2 linked regions of the Arabidopsis thaliana genome follow. The protein of the gene in region 2 interacts with the protein of the main gene of each other region in a pairwise test. Each region holds a gene or a part of one and is shown on either strand. Other genes may lie near its edges. The genes, in order: AT4G12210 and AGL29.

Evidence for each region.
Region 1: the proteins of AGL29 (region 2) and AT4G12210 interact in a two-hybrid assay, tested with the Arabidopsis thaliana proteins (one large-scale study listed by BioGRID).

Annotation. Positions count from the first base shown.
Region 1 is NC_003075.7:7,276,684-7,286,531, forward strand, and holds AT4G12210 (RING/U-box superfamily protein), read right to left. Parts: upstream 5,237-9,848; coding exon 4,625-5,236; downstream 1-4,624. Other genes in the region: AT4G12190 (RING/U-box superfamily protein), read right to left, coding at 1,862-2,077; AT4G12220 (uncharacterized protein), read right to left, coding at 6,565-7,056; AT4G12230 (alpha/beta-Hydrolases superfamily protein), read left to right, coding at 7,962-8,033, 8,701-8,826, 9,006-9,104, 9,210-9,352, 9,450-9,558, 9,675-9,782.
Region 2 is NC_003071.7:14,517,831-14,528,234, reverse strand, and holds AGL29 (AGAMOUS-like 29), read right to left. Parts: upstream 1,565-10,404; 5' UTR 1,286-1,564; coding exon 767-1,285; 3' UTR 501-766; downstream 1-500. Other genes in the region: AT2G34450 (HMG-box (high mobility group) DNA-binding family protein), read left to right, coding at 24-104, 267-317; LHB1B1 (light-harvesting chlorophyll-protein complex II subunit B1), read right to left, coding at 2,617-3,417; LHB1B2 (photosystem II light harvesting complex protein B1B2), read left to right, coding at 4,722-5,519; RWA3 (O-acetyltransferase family protein), read right to left, coding at 6,182-6,337, 6,426-6,522, 6,626-6,682, 6,775-6,837, 6,935-7,023, 7,106-7,192, 7,280-7,395, 7,561-7,816 and 7 more; AT2G34400 (Pentatricopeptide repeat (PPR-like) superfamily protein), read right to left, coding at 10,049-10,404. UniProt on the Arabidopsis thaliana protein: Probable transcription factor.

The sequences.
Region 1 (9,848 bases), on a different chromosome or scaffold from region 2:
AGGAACTTGGACAGCCCGTTTCTTGTCTTACGCGGGTCGTCTAAATTTGGTCAGTTCGGTCCTATGGAGTATTTGCAATTTTTGGCTCTCTGCTTTTAGGCTTCCCCGTGAATGTGTTAGGGAAATCGATAAGCTATGTTCCGCCTTCCTCTGGTCAGGACCAGAACTGAGTACTAATAAGGCTAAGATCGCATGGGAGACAGTTTGCAGGCCAAAACGAGAGGGCGGATTGGGTCTGCAGTCAATCAAAGAGGCTAATGACGTTTGTTGTCTGAAACTGATTTGGCGAATCGTCTCGCAAGGTGACTCGCTATGGGTGCAGTGGATTAGGACTTATCTTCTCAAGCGCAACACTTTTTGGTCTTTTCGGTCAGCATCTCAGGGCTCATGGATGTGGAAAAAGCTGTTAAAATATCGGGACACTGCAAAAGCCTTTTCTAAGGTCGACATTAGAAATGGTGAAACTGCGTCTTTTTGGTATGATGATTGGTCATCCAAGGGCCGGCTGATTGACGTGCTGGGAGAACGCGGTCAATTCGACATGGGGATAAGCAAGTTTAAGACACTTGCAGAGGCATGGGATCGCAGGAGATCACGTTATCACCGAGCAGAAACGCTTAATACCATTGAACAAGAACTCCTTTTGGCAAAGCAAAACAGAGTGGCAGTAGAGGACGTCTTTCTTTGGAAGGGGAAAAACGATACTTTCCGGCCACAGTTTTCAGCACGTGATACTTGGAGCCACACACGTTCTATTTCGACAGAGGTCACATGGCATAAGAGTGTCTGGTTTGCAGGAGGGACTCCCAAATTCTCCTTCTGCGTTTGGATGGCGGCTCACAATCGTTTATCAACTGGAGATCGGATGCTCAGCTGGAACAGGGGTCTCTCCACAGGCTGCGCTCTTTGTAACCACATGCTGGAACCCGTAATCACCTTTTTTTCTCTTGTGTTTACGCCTCAGAAATTTGGCAGGCTCTAGCTTGGAACATCTATGGAGCAAAGTATACTACACACTGGAATGACTTGATCGCAGCAACCTCAGGACATTGGCAGGATGATCGAACAACGGGCTTCATAGCTCGCTATGTCTTTCAAGCTGCCGTTTATACCATCTGGAGGGAACGTAATAACCGGCGGCATGGTGAACTACCAAACTCACCGGTACGTCTAATCAGATGGATTGACAAGCAAGTACGAGATCGAATTTCATTACTCAACACAAGCGGTGACAGAAGATACGTGACGGGATTACAAGTTTGGTTTGCAGCAAGAAGTTAACTTTTTTTTTCACTTTGATCAAAGTTGTATTTAGCTTTTTCAAACACACGTTGCACTGAGTGTACAAATGACACCTTTCTTTTGAATCTAATTTAACATTACATTCAAAAAAGAAGATCAAAAGCTTCATATATAGAAGAGGTGATTACGGAAGATCAGAGTCCGTGCTCATCTTGGTATTCTTTGTTTGATGGAAGCTTTAAAAGATTGAAGAAAAGGATGGAAACAAATATGTTGAAATAGCTGAAGTGATTTGTGCTGTATTATCCAAAGAGTTGAAATTTGCAGAAGGACTTCATGTGAGAGGTGAAACAAATCACATTGAAGAAGACGCATAAGGAATCATCATTTAATTTCAGCAACAGCTTGATGTGAAAGGGTATTAAAAATTTCAATCCTCTTCTCTAACTGTGTTAAGCCCTTAAAAACAACAAATTACATTCAATTTCTTGAACTAGTTAAAGAGCGTGCGTGACACAAAATTAGAATTTCTAACTTCTATTGGAAACCTTAATACTCAAAATTACATGAAATTTCCTTACATAAAACCCTAATTTCAATCTTTTTTTGCAGTCATCAATCAATCGTAGAGCTCAGTCCGACAAAGGGGACAAGTGTTCTTACGCTTGAGCCACTCTAAAAGACAGCCATTGTGGAAGACATGAGAACAAGTCATGCGTGTGATGTCCCTAGGTTTAGGACCGGAGACTAGACTCTCGAGACAGATGGAACACGGCTCTGTTTCCATCTTCAAACTCTTCAATTCCTCTGTTTTTATTCTCCCTAGCAGAACCATCCTCAATGATCTCTCGTTGTCTGACGTAACGGAGACGGTCAGGTAAGTAACTGTAGCGTCCACGGTCAAGGTAAAGCCGTTGCGCCCAAAACCTAAGTCTATTGCAGCCGTTGAGATCTCTGTGGCTAAGTCATCGCACAAGTAACTCCAAAAGGGGTATCCGACTAATCGATCGTGGAGAAGCGTTCGGATGTGGTCGTGACTAGAACTACAGAGATTGATATTGATGAGAAAAGGTTCTGAAACCTGAGTCCGGCGGGTTTGGCGACCGGTTGTTTGGTCTTCAATGATCTCTTCAGATATGTTTTCGACGCTTATGATGACTGGTTTAAGTTTGAGTTTGGTTCTGATGGAGAGAGTCCCCTTCCACTGACGTGAACTTCCATTTCAAGAGAAGTCATGTTTTGAAACGAACAGAGAAAATCCCAAAGAAAACAAAATCAGAGGAGATTCACACAAAGAAGAAGTCGAAAATCGTAATGAGAGCAAACTGAGAGAAAATTGAGAGAGAAGAGAGAATTGTGAATAGCTTTAGTTAGGGTTACGTAGTGACAGAGATATATAAAGCGTGTTCACGAAGAAATTTCCTTTTTTTATATATGGGCTTTTAATTTGGGTCGACAATTTAACTTGGGCTTTTAGTCCTGATGGATTATGGGATGAGATGCATAATCTTGTTTATGGCTAATTAGGAGAAGTTTGGTTCTTAATTATGTGGTGTGGTTTTGTTTAAATATGCTTGGTTCAATTCCGGTTAACCTTTGGTTAACTGTTTTGTCTCTTCCTGTTTTGTTCTGTGACGTTACTGTAATTTCACTGATAATGCAAAACAGAGAGACGTCGTTTGTTTGCAGTGATGGCTCTGGCTTTTACGGAAACTTCAGTACTCTTTTCGTTTAATTTCATTGTAATTCTTCTCATATAATAGACCTGTGTATGTTCTAGCTTATGATAGAGCACTGTAAGACAATTTACGTTTTTTGTTTTAGTATTTTTTTTTGTGCACAGAAGTTGTTCGACGAAATGACTGTTAGACAGCTACTGGTATGATACAAGTTGTAGACAAATACTATATGACTACTTCTTTAGCTAGGAGGTTTTACTTGAGAGAAAAGTTGCATAGTTTTAGAATGGGCGAAAGCAAGTCTGTTATGGAGAACGTTGATGAGTTTCAGTGGTTGATTGATGAACTAAGTAATGCTAAAGTAGAGATATTTGATGAAGATCAGGCTATATATTTGATGATTTCTTTGCCAGAACAGATTGAAAAGTTTGATGGGAGAGGTGATTACATTTTGGGGAAGACGAAGATCCTTGCTCGTTTTGAGATTCTTGATGTGATTGATGCTTTAAAGATTGAGGAGGATGAGAACAAATCTGTTGGAACAGATGAAGGTAAGAGTCATTGTGTAGCTTTGAGTCTAGATCTAGAAGAGAAGAAGAGAAAGGCAATGAGCATGATTGTTCAGAGCGTAGAAAATCAGAATCTGCGAAAGAAACTTATGAAGGAGAAGACAGCTGCTGGTATGTTATATGTTCTCGACAAACTCTACATTACTAGCTAGATCTGCTGGTAGTGTAGAGTGTAGGACTGGCAGGACTTACCTACAATATAAGCTGTGTAGTTTTAGGATATATGAAAGCCAGTCTGTTGAGGAAAACATCGATGAGTTTGAGAGATTAGTTGAAGACGAAAGCGATACGTTTGCTGATTTCTTTACCAAATTAATTTGATGACCTTACGCTAGACGAAGTGATTTGTGCTGTACTATCCAAAGAGTTCCAAAGGATATAAAGAAACTGCAGAGGAACTTCATGTGAGACGCAGGTCTGTTAGTAGAGATAGGTCAAAATCCAAAGGAGAGAAAGGGGCTTGCTGGATTTGTGGGGAAGATGGCCACTACAAAAACGACTGTCCATCTAGGAACTCTGAGAAGCCGAAGGAACATGCTTATAAAGCACAAGAAGCATCTGTTCCAAGAAGGAATAATGCTTGAGCATTTTAGGAAGAATTATACTTTGTGGGAAGTGCCAATGTATGTATCTCTGTAAGTGTCAATATTTCGTAACTTTGATTGGTGACTAGCAAATATGTTGAAGTAGCTGAAGTATTATCCAAAGAGTTGAAATTGCATAAGGATATTATAAAGACACACTGCAGAAGGACTTCATGTGAGAGGTGAAACAATCACATTGAAGAAGACACATATGAATCATGATTTAATTTCAGCAACAGCTTGATGAAGGGTTTTGGTTATTTTGTTAAGAATTTAAGAGTTGCAACTTGCAAGTGAATAACTTAAAACCGACAAAGTTTGTAGTTTTTTGTTGTGATTAAAAACTTCTCTAATTGAGTAAAACTCTTAAAAACAACAAATTACATTCAATTTCTTCAGCGTGTGTGACACAAAATTAGAATTTTTTTCTATCGAAAACCCTAATTTCAATCTTTTTCTAACTTCTAATGGAAACCATAATTTCAACCTTAATACGAAAATTACATGAAATTTTCATACATAAAACCCTAATATCAATCTTTGGTTCCAGTCATCGATCGTAGAGCTCCGTCCGACACAGGGGACAAGTGTTTTTACGCATGAACCACTCCAAGAGACAGGGATTGTGGAAGACATGAGAACAAGTCATGCGTGTGAGGTCGCTAGGTTTTGGACCGGAGACTAGATTCTCAAGACAGATTGAACAAGACTCTGTTTCCATCTTCAAACTCTTCAATTCCTCTGCTTTTATCCTTCCTAGTAGAACTATCCTCAAAGATTTCTTGTTGTTTGACGTTACCGAGACAGTCCGGTAAGTAACTGTGACGACCACGGTGATGGTAAAACCGTTTCGTCCAAAACCTAAGTCGATAGCCGCCGTTGAGATCTCTGAGGCTAGGTCATCACACAACCAATGGTGGCTAGCGAATCGGGTACGGAGAAGTGATCGGATGTGGTCGTGACTAGAACTACTGAGATTGATAGTGTCGAGACAAGATAGAGTAGCCGGAGTGGACCGGCGGGTTTGGTGATCGGTTGTTTGGTTTACAAAGATCTCTTCAGATTTGGTATCGATCTCAACGATGACTGAGTTTGCATGTGATGGAGAAGAGAGTTTCCTTTGAAGATTGGTGAAGCGAAATTCCACTTTGCGAGAATTCATGTTTTGAAACGGAAAGAGAAACAGAGAAGTAGAAGAAGAAGACTTGGCAAATCGTAGTGACTAGCGAGAGCAAATTGAGAGAGGAGAGAATTTGTGAAGCTTTAGGGTTACGTAGTGAGGATATATATACGCGTCTTCAACGTTCAGATATTTTAGGTTCTAGTTTCCTTTTTTTCTCTGTCACCTAACAATTTCCTTTTTTTTTAAGAAGTTTCCTTTTTTCCTTTTTAACAGTTTTATTTGTAGAGTTTGATTTGAAGGGGTTTTGGTTATTACTTATTAGTTTAAGACTTAGCAATAATTATTGGTAAGTTTTTAGTGGGTTCTTAAATTAATTTGAGAATAAAATTAAATGCTAAAGGATGTATTAACTTAAGAGGGCCTCTTATACAAGAGGCGAAAAATGATGGTAAGAGACGATGATGTGGCAAACTATGTGTGGGCCATGGGAAAATACAAACTTCATTCTACGAAGACTAATATCTTAAGATGTGCAATGAAAACAAATCAAAATCCTTGAAAGGCTTAAAGCCACAGAAAAGTAAATCAAACTAGTTTCAATACCTCTATGTCAAGAACTCAATGCAATCCAGAGACTTAAAAATCATACTTTTGTTGGCGACTTGATTAGATTCTGCTGGGATAATAAGCTCTGACTGCAAATTGAGGACGAATACTTTATTGAGCAACACATGTACTTCCAAATTGTATTATAGCCATATTTAGCTCAATACACTCCCTGTAACACAATATAAGTAGGTCTCAGCCTCAAAGTCTAGCTTTTTAACTCTAAAAATGCAGAAAGCAATCATTTTTTTCTCAAAAATTTGTTTTGATTATGAACTCTTAAATACCAATTATGAATCTCTTTTATATCTTTGTGTCAATACACCAAACACCACCAATTACTTCATCGCATATATTCCTTCTCTCCACAAAACCACACATAAACCAAAATCATATCTTTTTTTTTTTAAGAATCCTAACTTAATATACTATCATTGAGGATGACTAAACTTAAAAATCTTACCCAAACTCTTAACTACCAAATTTTCAAAATCTATTCCTAAATTATTGCTAAGAGCCATTGTTAATAACCTCCCATTAATGATGGTCCAATGATCTTATTTAAAACCCTTAAAAGCACAAAATTACATTCAATTTCTGGAAGCACAGAGCGAATGAAACAAAATTAGATTTGAAACCTTAATAAACAAAATCACATAAAATTTCCCCAATATAGAGCGTACGTGTGACACAAGTTATGCAATCAGTAGATGAAACCCTAATACTTTCAATTCTTAGAACAAGTCATGCGTGGGAGATCGCTAGGTTTCGGACTGGAGAGATCGTGGAAACAGATGGAACACGACTCTGTTTCCATGTTCGAACTCTTTAATTCCTCTGCTTTTATCCTCTCTAGTAGAACCATTCTCAATGATTTCTGTGTCGTTTGAAGTAACGGAGACGGTCCGGTTAGTAACTGTGACGACCACGGTGAAGGTAAAGCCGTTTCGTCCAAAACCTAAGTTGATTGCCTCCGTCGCGATCTCTGGGGCTAAGATATCACACAAAAAATGGTAGCTAACGAACCGACTACGGAGAAGTGATCGGATGTGGTGGTGACTAGAACTACAGAGATTGATAGTATCGAAAAAAGATGGTGAAGCCGGAGTGGACCGGCTGGTTTGGTGACCGGTTGTTGGGTTTACAAAGATCTCTTCAGATTTGGTTTCGATGAAAACGAGAACTGAGTTTGGTTGTGATGGAGAGAGTTTCCTTTGGTTGATGAAGCGTAATTCCACTTTGCAATATTTCATGTTTTGAAACGAAAAGAAAAACAGAGAAGAGATTCAAACAGAGAAGAAGACGACTTCGCAAATCGTAATGAGAGAAAATTGAGAGAGAAGAGAATTGTGAATAGCTTTAGGGTTACGTAGTATAGTCACATATTTCAGGTTCTAGTGTCCTTTTTTCTTGTCATCAAACAAATTTCCTTTTCTTTAAGAAGTTTCCTTTTTTCCATGTGTTTTGGGTCGATAATTTACTAAATATTGGAGACAATGTTAATTCCAGGTGGATATATGTTACTTATTTCTTTTAACTGATTCTCGATTAATTTTAAGAGTAGTACGTAAAATAGATCTTTATATTTTTGGCAACCGATATTAATTAGAATTCAAAATAGTTAATCCCAAAAAATATTGTTTACATATATGGTATAATACGGTTTGATACGAATCTTTCGTGCTAAATTATCTACTTTTACATTTGCACTATGAAAAATTAAAAATAAAGAAAAGTTTGTGCATTTTTCTGCAATTATTCCAAATATATTAAAAATATGGGTAATTCGGTTGGGAAAGACAGATCAATAAAATGAAAGAAATTATATCAAAATCCAAATATTCTTGGAAATTGATTCATACCGAAATCTAATCAAAACATATGTGAAAATAGATGTTGATGAGTCACATGATGACCATTAATTATTACATACTTTACGTCGTTAACTGAGAATGACTGCTACAATCACGGACCATTCACGGCGTCAACGTTGACAGGCAGTTGATATAGGAGACTCTGTTATCTCGCCGTTATATAATTCCTATCGAAAATCAGAGCAAAAAAAAATAAAAAAGATTAATTGCAAAGTTGTTCGTGAAGAGCAAAAGCGAAATTAAATACATAAATTCGATCGGATGTTGAAAATCTCCGATCGGCGATGAAAGGCGTCTCTTCGACGCCCGGAGATTACGTCTACTTTAAATCTCAGGTTCCTCTTCACAAGATTCCCGTATGTTTCTTCTTCCTCTCTCTCTCTTTGACTTTTGATGAATTTTCGATTCTGCATTCTATTCGGCTACTAAATTAGGTTTAATCTCGAGCTTTTGAGGTTTTGATTTTTGTTTTTTTTTTTGTTGATTTTCGATTAATCTCATGTGGGTTTTAATCGTTTGGGTTTATGCAGAATTTTTTGTGTGAGTAGTTCTATCGTAAATGGGTTTATCCTGCTGAGTTTGGGTTCAAATTTTATGCTTAGAATTTTAATTTTTGGGTTCTTGTCTAAAAGCAAGAACTTGGTAGTCTTTAGTTTAGTGATGGGTATTCTCCATTTTTGATCTTTTTAACTTCTGTAGATTCTTTTAGTGTTGCTTTTGATTTGATCTATGAGTAGCCTGTGACACACTTAGTGATTTGTCTTTGTTTATGTTCGCATATTTAGTTCTTAGCTCTACTAATCCCAAGCAACTATTGAATGGCTCTATAGATGTAATGTTTGTTCGGGTTGTGTTGCTTAGAGTTTGGAAAACTGTGATTTGTTAAGCATTTGTACATGTATGTCCACTGTTTCAAGCTTCGGAATGAAAGATTTCATTTTTTTTGTTTTTTCTTGGAATGTCATTTGCTCAGAGCATAAACAATCTTATAAATATCTAGCTTTATGTGCATGCTAACTGCAGATTGGGACAAAGCAATGGCGTTACTATGACTTTGGTCCAAAGACTGTTCCTCCGCTCATATGTATTCCTGGAATTGCAGGAACTGCAGATGTTTACTATAAACAGATTATGGCACTCTCTATGAAGGTTTGTCAAGTTCTAGTCTTTCAACAGTTATCTGCAAACAATCTTTTCTTAATCACAGGTAGCTTTAAACATTTGTTAGGATATGGTAACTTAGATGCTTATGTGTTGATGTGATCCTTGGGGACTGATTAGATATCTCCAAAAATGTTGAACTTATGTTGTTAAATCTGCAATTCCAGGGTTATCGGGTAATCTCAGTTGATATTCCACGGGTTTGGAATTATCATGAGTGGATTCAAGCATTTGAGAAGTTCTTGGACACCATTGATGTTCATCACGTAAGATCTCTTTAAGTTACAAATCACCATCTAAGTTCCTAAATTTTTTTATTGGTGCGGAAATATATGGCATTGTAAGTGATTGTACTTGACCATTCTTAATAGGTGCATCTCTACGGTACTTCCCTTGGAGGCTTCTTAGCACAACTCTTTGCTCATCACCGTCCAAGGCGGGTTAAATCATTAGTTCTATCAAATACATATTTGGATACTCGTACTTTTGCTACTGCAATGCCATGGGCTCCTTTGTATGTCTCTCTTATACGATTATTCCTTCTTTATTTTTATTGTTTGTGCCTAAGTATTTGTACTGACTCTCAACGCTTTTCGTGATGCTCTGTGCAGTGTCAGTTGGACCCCTTCTTTTTTGCTTAAACGATACGTCTTAACAGGAATTCGTGACGGACCTCATGAACCCTTTATAGCTGACTCTGTCGACTTTGCTGTTTCTCAGGTTGCTATCCTGATTATTTCATCTATGATATTTTCTTGAACGGATCTGAATAACATGTGGACAAGGAATTTTAGATAAACTTACCAGCTCGGTTTCTTTGGTTTACTCTGATTTAGGTGGAGACATTGTCGAAAGATGATTTGGCTTCCCGGTTAACTTTAACTGTGGATGCTGCTTCCGTGGGATCTCTACTACTCTCTGATTCTTCAGTTACTATAATGGATGTAGGTTTCGATTAGCTATATACGGGACTTTTCGTATTATCAATGCAAGTAATTTTATCGTTGTCT
Region 2 (10,404 bases):
TTTGTTCCTCAACTGTTTTGTAGGAAAAGGTAAAGTATTATGATATAGCTACTGAGAAGAGGGAAGAATTTCACCGAGCAATGACAGAATATACCAAGAGAATGGTACCACCGTTTTCTTCATTTTTCCTTGTTTTTGCTTAATATTTATTCACATCAGTGGGTTCTTCATTTTTCCTTGTTTTTGCTTAATATTTATTCACATCAGTGTCCCACTGATGCGGTGATAAAACATTAGTCTGAGCTTTTCATTTTACTATTTTGCAGGAATCAGGTGCCCACGATGAATCAGAGACCGACTCAGACTATTCTGAATAGATTACTTTTTAGTTTCTACCACATTAGAAACATTGTTCTAAGCCTTCTAGGATGGGTTTGTATATCGGTGATATTTAAGAGTTTCTGTTTCGTTTTTGAGATCATTCTTTCACTGATACTCATGTTTCTGTGGATTGCATTTGGAGATCAATGAATACTAACCAGTTTCTTGAGTGGTTGCCAAAGGGTTTTACTGTTTCTTTTTATTGTCTCGATTCTGTTTGAAACAAAAATTCCAGACTGCAGAGTGACGAAAAAGCTGATCAAGTTTAGCAAGTACACTTGAGATTAATACAGACAAATTTCCAGGTACATTTTCATTTGATGTCAAATAGAAAGTCACACCCCATAGATGACAGAAAATTCTACACCAGCAATAACTTTCATGTGTTGGTAAGTTCTGTAGGCTGATACAAAAAATAGAATGTAACTCTAACAAGTCGGTCTAGCTATTTTCTGGAGAGAAGCATGAGGCAAGACGAAGCCTGCAAGTGATTGACTTGACCTTCAATCCTACCATGGACTGTCTGAAGCCTATCTTTGTATTCATTGAGTTCATCGAGGGTAAGCGTCTCAATGGACTCCTTGAATCTCTCATCCCCAGCAGATTCAAGCTTCTCCTGACTCTTCTCGCCTCGTTCCTTCTCAGCTTCAACCTCTTGGTTGAGCAAATCGAGACGTTCACTCAGCCTCTTCAGTTTAGGCCTGTAATTACCACTTTTTTCTTCATCGCCACTGTCTGAATCATCATATTCTCTCATGAATCGCTCTGCAACAGAATCAAGATTCGGTTTCCCGTAGGAGAAAGGCTTGCCTCCTGGTGAAAAGACAACGATGCCCAACTCAGCGTTGCAGAGCGTGGCTAACTCGCTCGCCTTCTTGAACAAACCAGTCCTCCGTTTTGAAAAGGTAACCTGTCGTGTGTTCATGTCCTGAACCATCTCCATCTTGATCTTTCTCCGACCCATTTGTTTGCTAAAACGGTACGAATAAGAGAGAACCTCTCGTTTTTTTTTGCTGTGAAAGTGAATATGTTGGTGAAGAAGAAGATTTTGGTGTTGTATGTCTCTGTTTTTAGTAATGGAGATGGAGGTAGAGAATTTTCATTGAACCTAACGAGGGTCATATATAGTAATGGAGGTGGAGAATCACAAGGGTGCAGATTTAGCAAGTTTTTAATTGAAAATCTTGAATTGCCTTATATGGGCGTTGAATAGTTTCTAATTGTGTGTATTCAAACATCCATGAATATTTAAATTTTCATTTTTCTTTTTTCTATTGAATAGTTTCTAATTGTGTATTCAAAACATACATGAATCTTTAACAATTCATATTTTTTCCCTTTATTTCTTAAGAACATAGACAAAAGATGGGATTCATTACCTTGTAAAGAATTAAAAATGGTATTCATAATTGGTCTTTCTTTTTTTTTTTTTTTTTATGTAATTCAAAATTTAGAAGTTTATTTTATATTCTGGTCGTTATTCTCCAAAGTGATTTTTTTTTTCTTCTTTGTAGACCTCTCGTTGATTAATAAGTTATCGACCATGTTATGTAGTTCAAAAGTTTTTGCAAATGGTGTCGTTGAATTAAAATAAAAAGTTATGGACCGTTTCAAACGTTTTTGTTTGCGAATGCCCACTGAGGACAGGAGTCCAAAGGTTTGCGAGTCACTCGAATGACTTATGAGTTCAGTCACATTCAACTTAACCATGTTTTTTTAATTAGAAACCTAAAACAAGAGCGTCGACCATAAGACCTACAAATGCTTTCAAGACTCCGAACTACATTATCAAAAATAAAGTCTTTGACAATTTGCATACCAAACACACCCAAATTGCATGAAAAATTCCGTGCAATTAAATTTGAACAAGAGAAAAATTATGACCAAGACTTTGGATTCCTTATCACCAAAACTCTCAACAATGCAACATCAAAATCCGATTGAAGAAGTCACACCAAAAGTGAAAGACAAAAAAGTTAAAAACATATAAGGATGGTTTGAGATATATTTTAGTTATTTTGAAGAACAAAAACAAACTTGTTTGGACTTTGATGTGGTACGATCAAATCATTTGGTATTATCTCTGTTCTTGGAACCAAACTATGTTGTGTGAACACCGAATTAGGTCTAAGTATGTTCTTGCACATTAGTAAATAGTAAGTGACTGATCCATCAATATCATAAAGCTTCTTAAATATTTCACACACATACAAAGTAATTTACAAGATATGAAATCTGCATCACATTTCCAAGATGCAACAAACCGGATACACACAACTCGATCACAAATTAAACTCACTTTCCGGGGACGAAGTTGGTAGCGAAGGCCCATGCATTGTTGTTGACTGGATCAGCCAAGTGGTCCGCGAGGTTCTCCAACGGTCCCTTTCCGGTGACAATGGCCTGAACGAAGAATCCAAACATAGAGAACATAGCCAACCTTCCGTTCTTGAGCTCCTTCACCTTCAACTCCGCGAAAGCCTCGGGGTCAGTAGCGAGGCCCAATGGGTCGAAGCTCCCACCTGGGTAAAGCAAGTCCTCTGCTTCTCCCAATGGACCATCTCCGGCGACTCTGTAGCCCTCAACAGCTCCCATGAGGATAACTTGAGTAGCCCAAATGGCTAAGATGCTCTGAGCGTGGACCAAGCTCGGGTTGCCCAAGTAGTCCAATCCTCCGTCGCTGAAGATCTGTGAACCAGCCTTGAACCAAACCGCTTCTCCGAACTTCACTCCGTTCCTAGCCAATAGCTCAGGGAAAACGCAGCCTAGGGCTCCGAGCATGGCCCATCTGCTGTGGATAACTTCTAGCTCACGGTTCCTAGCGAAGGTCTCGGGATCGGCGGATAGACCGGCAGTGTCCCACCCGTAATCACCGGGGAACTCTCCAGTGAGGTAGCTCGGAGGCTCACCGGAGAATGGACCCAAGTACTTGACTCGGTCGGATCCGTACCATGGGCTGCCGGATGGACCGGTGGGCTTGGAGGCTTTGCGCATGGTGATTCGGCCGGTTCCAAATACTTCGGAGGCCGCCGGGGATAGCTTAACGGCCTTTCCGGTCAAAGCAGGAGAGGAGAGAGCCATTGTCGAGGCGGCCATTGCGGTGAGAGTGTGGCGCAAGTAAAAGGCTCTTTAGTTAATAAGATGTGATGAAATTGGATAGCTAGGTTACGGTGAGGTTTTTGGGTATTTATAACGTACATATGAATTGCAAAACTTGAAGATTTAATTTGCTTATCTCGTGATATCGTCAATGCCTTGATTTCTATTGGTTGTTGACATTTTTGAGCTTAGATTTTTTGTCTTGTCGAGCTGGCATCAGATTTTTGGTTTGGAATTGAGTTGTGTTAGATAAATTAGATATCTCGTAGCATCTTAGCATATTGGAATACCCATTGTCCATTGAAGACGTGCCACTTGTAAATCTGACGTGTTTCTATCCCTTTGAATCGTATCAGTCTCAAGGTACACGTCATTGGTGTTTCCCAAATAGACATGTCGTCAAAGAATCAAAACAACATGATACAAAGTCCAAACATACTTAGAACGTTGCATACTACCCACTCTTTCACCAAAATGTGAAATATGAGTGAAAACTGAACATCTCAATTTTCATTACTCTAAGTTTGTTAATTATCTTGTTAAAAAAACTACTCTAAATTACAGAAGATTTAATCCTGATAAGAAAGTACATTAAAATGACAACAAAGTAAAAAAAAAAAATACAGTTCATCTTCAAAGACATGTTTTCTAATTCGTATTGGCAAGAAAAACTTACCAGTCATATTTGTTGCCGAAAACATTCAACAAAATCAATCAAAGGTATCAGTTAATATCATTGTCGACGGTTTTATATTATTAACTTATGATCGTAAGAACTTCGTATCACTTTTTGTTTCATCTAACTGCATTGTTTTACATAACATTGATATATATTTGTTTGGTAAGTGTTTCTAGTTTCACTTAAAAACTTTGTAGTTTGGCGTTCGAAACAAACTTGATAAGAAAAAAAAGAAAATATTATTGAGAGCATGAAGTGGATTGGAATTAAAGAAAACAAGGAAAAAGAAAAAAATAGATTGGAATAATTTCAAATATTTCTTTCCAATAATTCAAGCATTTATCTTTGAAAATTTCCCCAAAGTTTCTTTGTGTACAAATGACAAGTGTTTTCGTTGCAGCTAAAGAATCTAGCAAAAGCTTATGGACTAGAGAGTGACACATAGGACAAGATAACGACAATCCCAAAATCTCATAAGCCAATCACTAAACAGATACAGATACTTCACAGATAACAAACCTTACTCTTAACATTGCTATAAAGTGGACGTATACCCCAACCATTTTCAATCACTCTCACCAGTCACAACCAAAAAAAAGAAAACACAAAAACAAAGATTATAATGGCTTCCTCAACCATGGCTTTGTCCTCCCCTGCCTTCGCCGGAAAGGCTGTGAAGCCTGCCGCATCAGATGTCCTCGGAAGCGGCCGTGTGACCATGAGGAAGACTGTCGCCAAGCCAAAGGGTCCATCAGGCAGCCCATGGTACGGATCTGACCGAGTCAAGTACTTGGGTCCATTCTCCGGCGAGCCCCCGAGCTACCTTACCGGTGAGTTCCCCGGTGACTACGGATGGGACACCGCTGGTCTATCCGCCGACCCAGAGACCTTCGCCAGGAACCGTGAGCTAGAAGTTATCCACAGCAGATGGGCCATGCTCGGAGCCCTAGGCTGCGTTTTCCCTGAGCTATTGGCTAGGAACGGAGTGAAGTTCGGAGAAGCGGTTTGGTTCAAGGCCGGTTCACAGATCTTCAGCGACGGAGGATTGGACTACTTGGGCAACCCGAGCTTGGTCCACGCTCAGAGCATCTTAGCCATTTGGGCTACTCAAGTTATCCTCATGGGAGCTGTTGAAGGCTACAGAGTCGCCGGAGATGGTCCATTGGGAGAAGCAGAGGACTTGCTTTACCCAGGTGGCAGCTTCGACCCATTGGGCCTCGCTACTGACCCCGAGGCTTTCGCAGAGTTGAAGGTGAAGGAGCTCAAGAACGGAAGGTTGGCTATGTTCTCTATGTTTGGATTCTTCGTTCAAGCCATCGTCACCGGAAAGGGACCTTTGGAGAACCTCGCCGACCATTTGGCCGACCCAGTCAACAACAACGCTTGGGCCTTCGCCACCAACTTCGTCCCCGGAAAGTGAGCGGCTGCTTATTATGTGAATGAGAGCAGAGAAAGAGAGTTTGTTTGTGGTCTATTCTATGTAAATTTGTGAACTTTCCTTTGTGGTATCTTTGTATAGAAATCGAACCTCTTTTTCTCTAACTGTGTTGGCGTTTTATCTGAAGACTCAATTGAATTGAAATATCCACTCTTGTAAAATTCATATGTTCTGTATTTGGACAAACTACCAAATACGGACGAACAAAAGACAAAATGAAACTATATATGAGAAACTTATAGCAAAATTACAACAGAGACGAGAAAGAAAACGAACAAGATAAGTCGTCCTAAGATGATGCCGTCGAAATGCCACAAGATGCTTCACTCTAAGCCATTTTTTGAAGCTTCTCTGGTTCTAATTACCCAAAAGATGCTTCACTTGGCAAGCTTCAAAAAATACTGATCTTTGAAAACAAATTTTTATTGTCGATATGAGATGTGTGTTGTATCTATTTTAGCAAGTTTCACATAGAAACCTCTGTGCAGCTTTAGATTCATGTTTTTCAACATGTTTCTAGTCCCTCCTGTCAAAATAAAATGGTTATAGCGTGTTAATCGAGAATTGTATCTCTTCCTAAGCGAGTACACACCAAGATCAACAATGGCTGCAATGGACCATGCAAAGTAAAAGGCCTTACATGGTTAGTGTGGGATCTGGAGAAGAATGAGAGATGTTAAATATAAACAGAACGAGATGGCAGCTCCAGCGAGAACATTGTGGAGCAGCCTCTTGTCGTCTTTTGTTGGTATGAAAACAGACTTTAACGTGTTTGTAAGCTCGAAAAGTCGGTGGGACACCTGAAGAAAATAAATCAAAAGAACATATTACAATAATAGAACGTATCGTGAATACAGGATTTCTTCATGGATTCTACAATTGCTTTACCAAGACATAGATGGCCGTGACGAGCATGAAGTTGAGCATTGGGTATTCTGGAATAATGCATAATAGCCACTTAGGCTGTCCATTTGGCACATTCGATCTGCAGAACACATAATTTGCAGTTAAAATTTCATTCCTAGATCCTTCAGACAAATGGTCTCTTGCCTACATAATTGGGAGAAAGGAAACAGTTTCTCGCTGACCTTAACCAGATGTGAAACTGAGAAATATAGGTTTCCAGAGTAATCTTGCCGAGCCACCTACGAAGATATGACAGTCATGTCATATTAGAGTTGTGTACAGAATAAAACACTAAGCTTGGTTAGAATGAGACTAAGATTGAGAAACATACGCAAATAGTGTCATGGAGAAATTACGCAGCTGTTGTGTAGAATTTCGCAGACAGATGTAGACGCTAAGACAAAATAATCAAAGCTAAAGTCAGAATTTAGAGAGTAAGACATCTCAAAGTTTAATGTTTGGGGTGAAAGAAAACGGGATTTGATACTAACGTTATTGGAATCCACGATGTGTAGGGATGATATTTGTTGTATGTAACCTTGTCAAGCTTGTATATGTATTCATACCATAGGTAACCAACCTGAACAATATAGGGAACAACTTGGGCATCAGAATAATATCAAATACATAAGATCCATAAGCCAGAGAGAACCCAAACTCACAAATGAGGAAATTGCAATTATGCTTGTCTTTATTGACATCTTTCTCTTGGCATCACACTCCTCCAATTTCTCCATCCATCTCTCTACCTGAAATGAAAATGTCAAAAAATATTTTAATCGTAGGGTTCATGAGAAGATATGAAAAAACGAGAAGGCTGTAGGTTCAAGAGTTACAGTGGGATGGAAATAGGCATATATCATTCCAATGATCCATATGTAGCGGTCAAGTCCTGATCTGAAGTGCCATTCATGTAAAAGTGGTAGTTCTGGTTTAGCTGGATCAGTGTATCCTGTACTTGTGTAAGGAAAAAAACTAAATGTTAGTCAACATACAAAAACACTAATTCCAGTGACCAAGTGACAACAAACATTGGCAGGATTTTTTTAGCACAAGACGGATATGCAGTCGACCATGCCGAACACAGTAAAAGATATGAGAAGAGTCTGATACTGACCCAGTAAGAATGTTAAAGGACTCCAGAAAATCTCAAAAACGCCAGGAATCTCCCACATCACGATAACCACGAGAAAGCATGAAGCAATCTTCAAAGCCATTACTGATGGTATTTCGTTATATCGACTGAAGATACCAAGGGCTCCATACACCATAAGAGTGAACAGAGTGTGCATTGGACAGATGTAGTACAGCATATAATCATTATTGAGAATAATGCAGCTAAACGCCACAAATAAGTTAAGACGCCACATCATCTGGAAGAAGTAAAAGTTTTCATGAGCATCTTGAGTCATTGAAAACAACATGTCCCTTAGAAGCATATATCATGGTCAACTAATTAACTGTGCAATTGAAATGACCTGAGTAAATCGTGCTAGGGAGAAATCCTTTCTGATATAGTAATAAGAGAAGTTCCCAAACCCAGTCATCCAGACGTAGGCAGCAATGAAAACCCTGATTGCATTATATATCTCAGCCGCAGCAAAGTAATGATACATAAGAAATAGAACCTGCAAAGACACAAAAACTGTAAATTAGCATGGAAAACAGTTGCAACACACACAAAACATCTAAACGTGATACCAAAAAACTCAGATATATTCTGCTAAGCAGGAGCAAAAACATGTGAAAATGTTAAGGTCACCTACTGAGAAAATACTGAATCAGTTACCTGCATCCATCCCTTCCACTCTTCAGTCTGGTGACGATTAAGATAGAGAATGGATTTTCCTGTTATAGGTGATTTGTCATTGTGTTTCTTCAAGGATGTCATGGCTGAAACTATGATGAGAAGACAGTAGAGAAAGAGGAAAAGATCTCTGTTGTAATTCTGCAAAATGGAAAGTATACGAAAAAAGTGTCACAAATTGCAGAACCATTTTTAGACTCAGATGTTAGATTTCTATCTCTAAACTATTAACGACATCTGTGCTATAACACTATATATAACACATAAATGGTTTTAGAATTTTGATGACCAGTTGAAACTGAGAAAAGAATCCATCACATAGATTTAAAGGAGGCACCTTTTTAGACTCTCCAAGCAAGCTTGTTCGATCACTAATATAAAAGTAAAAAAGAATAGCCCCAAACTCAGCCCTGAAAGGAAGTAATACGGTCATGAGAGGGAATGAAGAACAGTATGAATCCATTCTGATAAAATTAAGGAACTTACATCGCTCTCAAGGTTGCTCGATTTTCAATCAAGAAAGAGTCTTCCAGCGTCAGAAATCTACAAGTAGACAAACGTAAATGGTTTATGTTTGTTGAAAGAACACTCCACTCTAAGAAACAAAAAAACACAAAGGAAGAAATCAGTAAAACTACCTAATCAAGTTTGTTTTGATAGGTGAGTTATAAAACTTTGTAGAGACTGATCTTGGAAGACCTCCTTCAAGTAAAACTACTCCTTCATCTTCCTTGTTTTTTACCTCACCAAGTTCAACCAAATTATTATCTGAATGACTGCAAGTAAGAAGTATAGGTTACTAAGAGGTTAGATACATATAACAAGAGAGCCATTTAAATTAGAGTCCTGATACATACACTTTAGAGTGCAATGAAGACCTCTTATACTCTAGAAACTCTGAGTAAATCCATGCTATGAAGACAGGAATGACTCCGAGTAGAAACGAAACCTGCATTAAAGAAATATGAAAGGTCATCCAAACCAAATCTCTGGTGAGAAACATTTTCAAAATTCAAAGTTGAAAGCTACTACATTTGAAGACACTAGCAAAATTTGATCCCTCTAGTAAACTAATCCAAATTGTAAATTCAATTACTCCACAACCTATCGATTATAGTAGAAATCTCGTTCAACAGAAACTATTCATTTCAAATCCTTGAAACCGTAGCAAAAAAATGAAATTTAAGAAGACGCTGAAGCTTCAAAAAAAAACAAAGTTAGGAGATACCGTACCTGACCAGGCGTGATTGGCTGAGAATCCGCCATTATAGTGGATCCACGAAGGGATCTTCAATCAAAAACTGGAAACAAAAAAGAAGGGAAGAGACAGGGAGAGTGATTTCTACTCCACCGTCGGATCTAAGGTAAGGCACAGGATCCGAAACCCTAGAAATACAATAGCACGGAAGGTGCGAGCAAAGAAGAAGAAGAAGAAGAAGAAGAAGAAGAAGAAGAGATCTGAAGTGAAGAAGGTGTTGCTTCAAGGATGGAGAAAATGGCGGGTGCGACGTCGTTCTCGTCAAGCTCACCCAAACGGTTGTTGGTTGGTTTGGCGAATGTTCTCTTTTCTGGTCCGTTCGGTTTTTTTGCCTTTCTCTACTAATTTTAAGAATCGGTGATTACAATACCAACAGAAAAAAATTGATTACTGAATGATTAAATAATAACTAGAGAGAGACGTAACTATTATAGATTCAAAGTAATTTTAATTGTTAGTGTTAAGTTTCATATACATTCAAAATAAAACTTCAAATTTATTTTACAACAAATTTTACTAGACTTGCACTCTCCGAGAAAGTCACAGGTGAATGTAACCAAATTCATACCTTTCCCTCTTCATCTCCTCCACCAACAAATCAAATAACGAACCGGAATCTTCCCTGCCACACTGTAAATAATCGCTTCCGGCAAGAAATTCCATTAGCTCACCCTCGATCTCAATCCAGCTGCATCCTGGTGTCTTAACGACGCCTCTGTCTCTCATCAACGCCCTCATCTTCGCAGACTCATCCCACATCTTCATATCAGCTAAAACATTAGAAGAGATTACATAGTTTCCTGCGTTCTTCGCCTCTTTCATCTCCATCAACATCCTCATCGCCTTCTCTCTGATCGCAACATCTTTTCTCTTATGACATGCTCCAAGGATCGCTG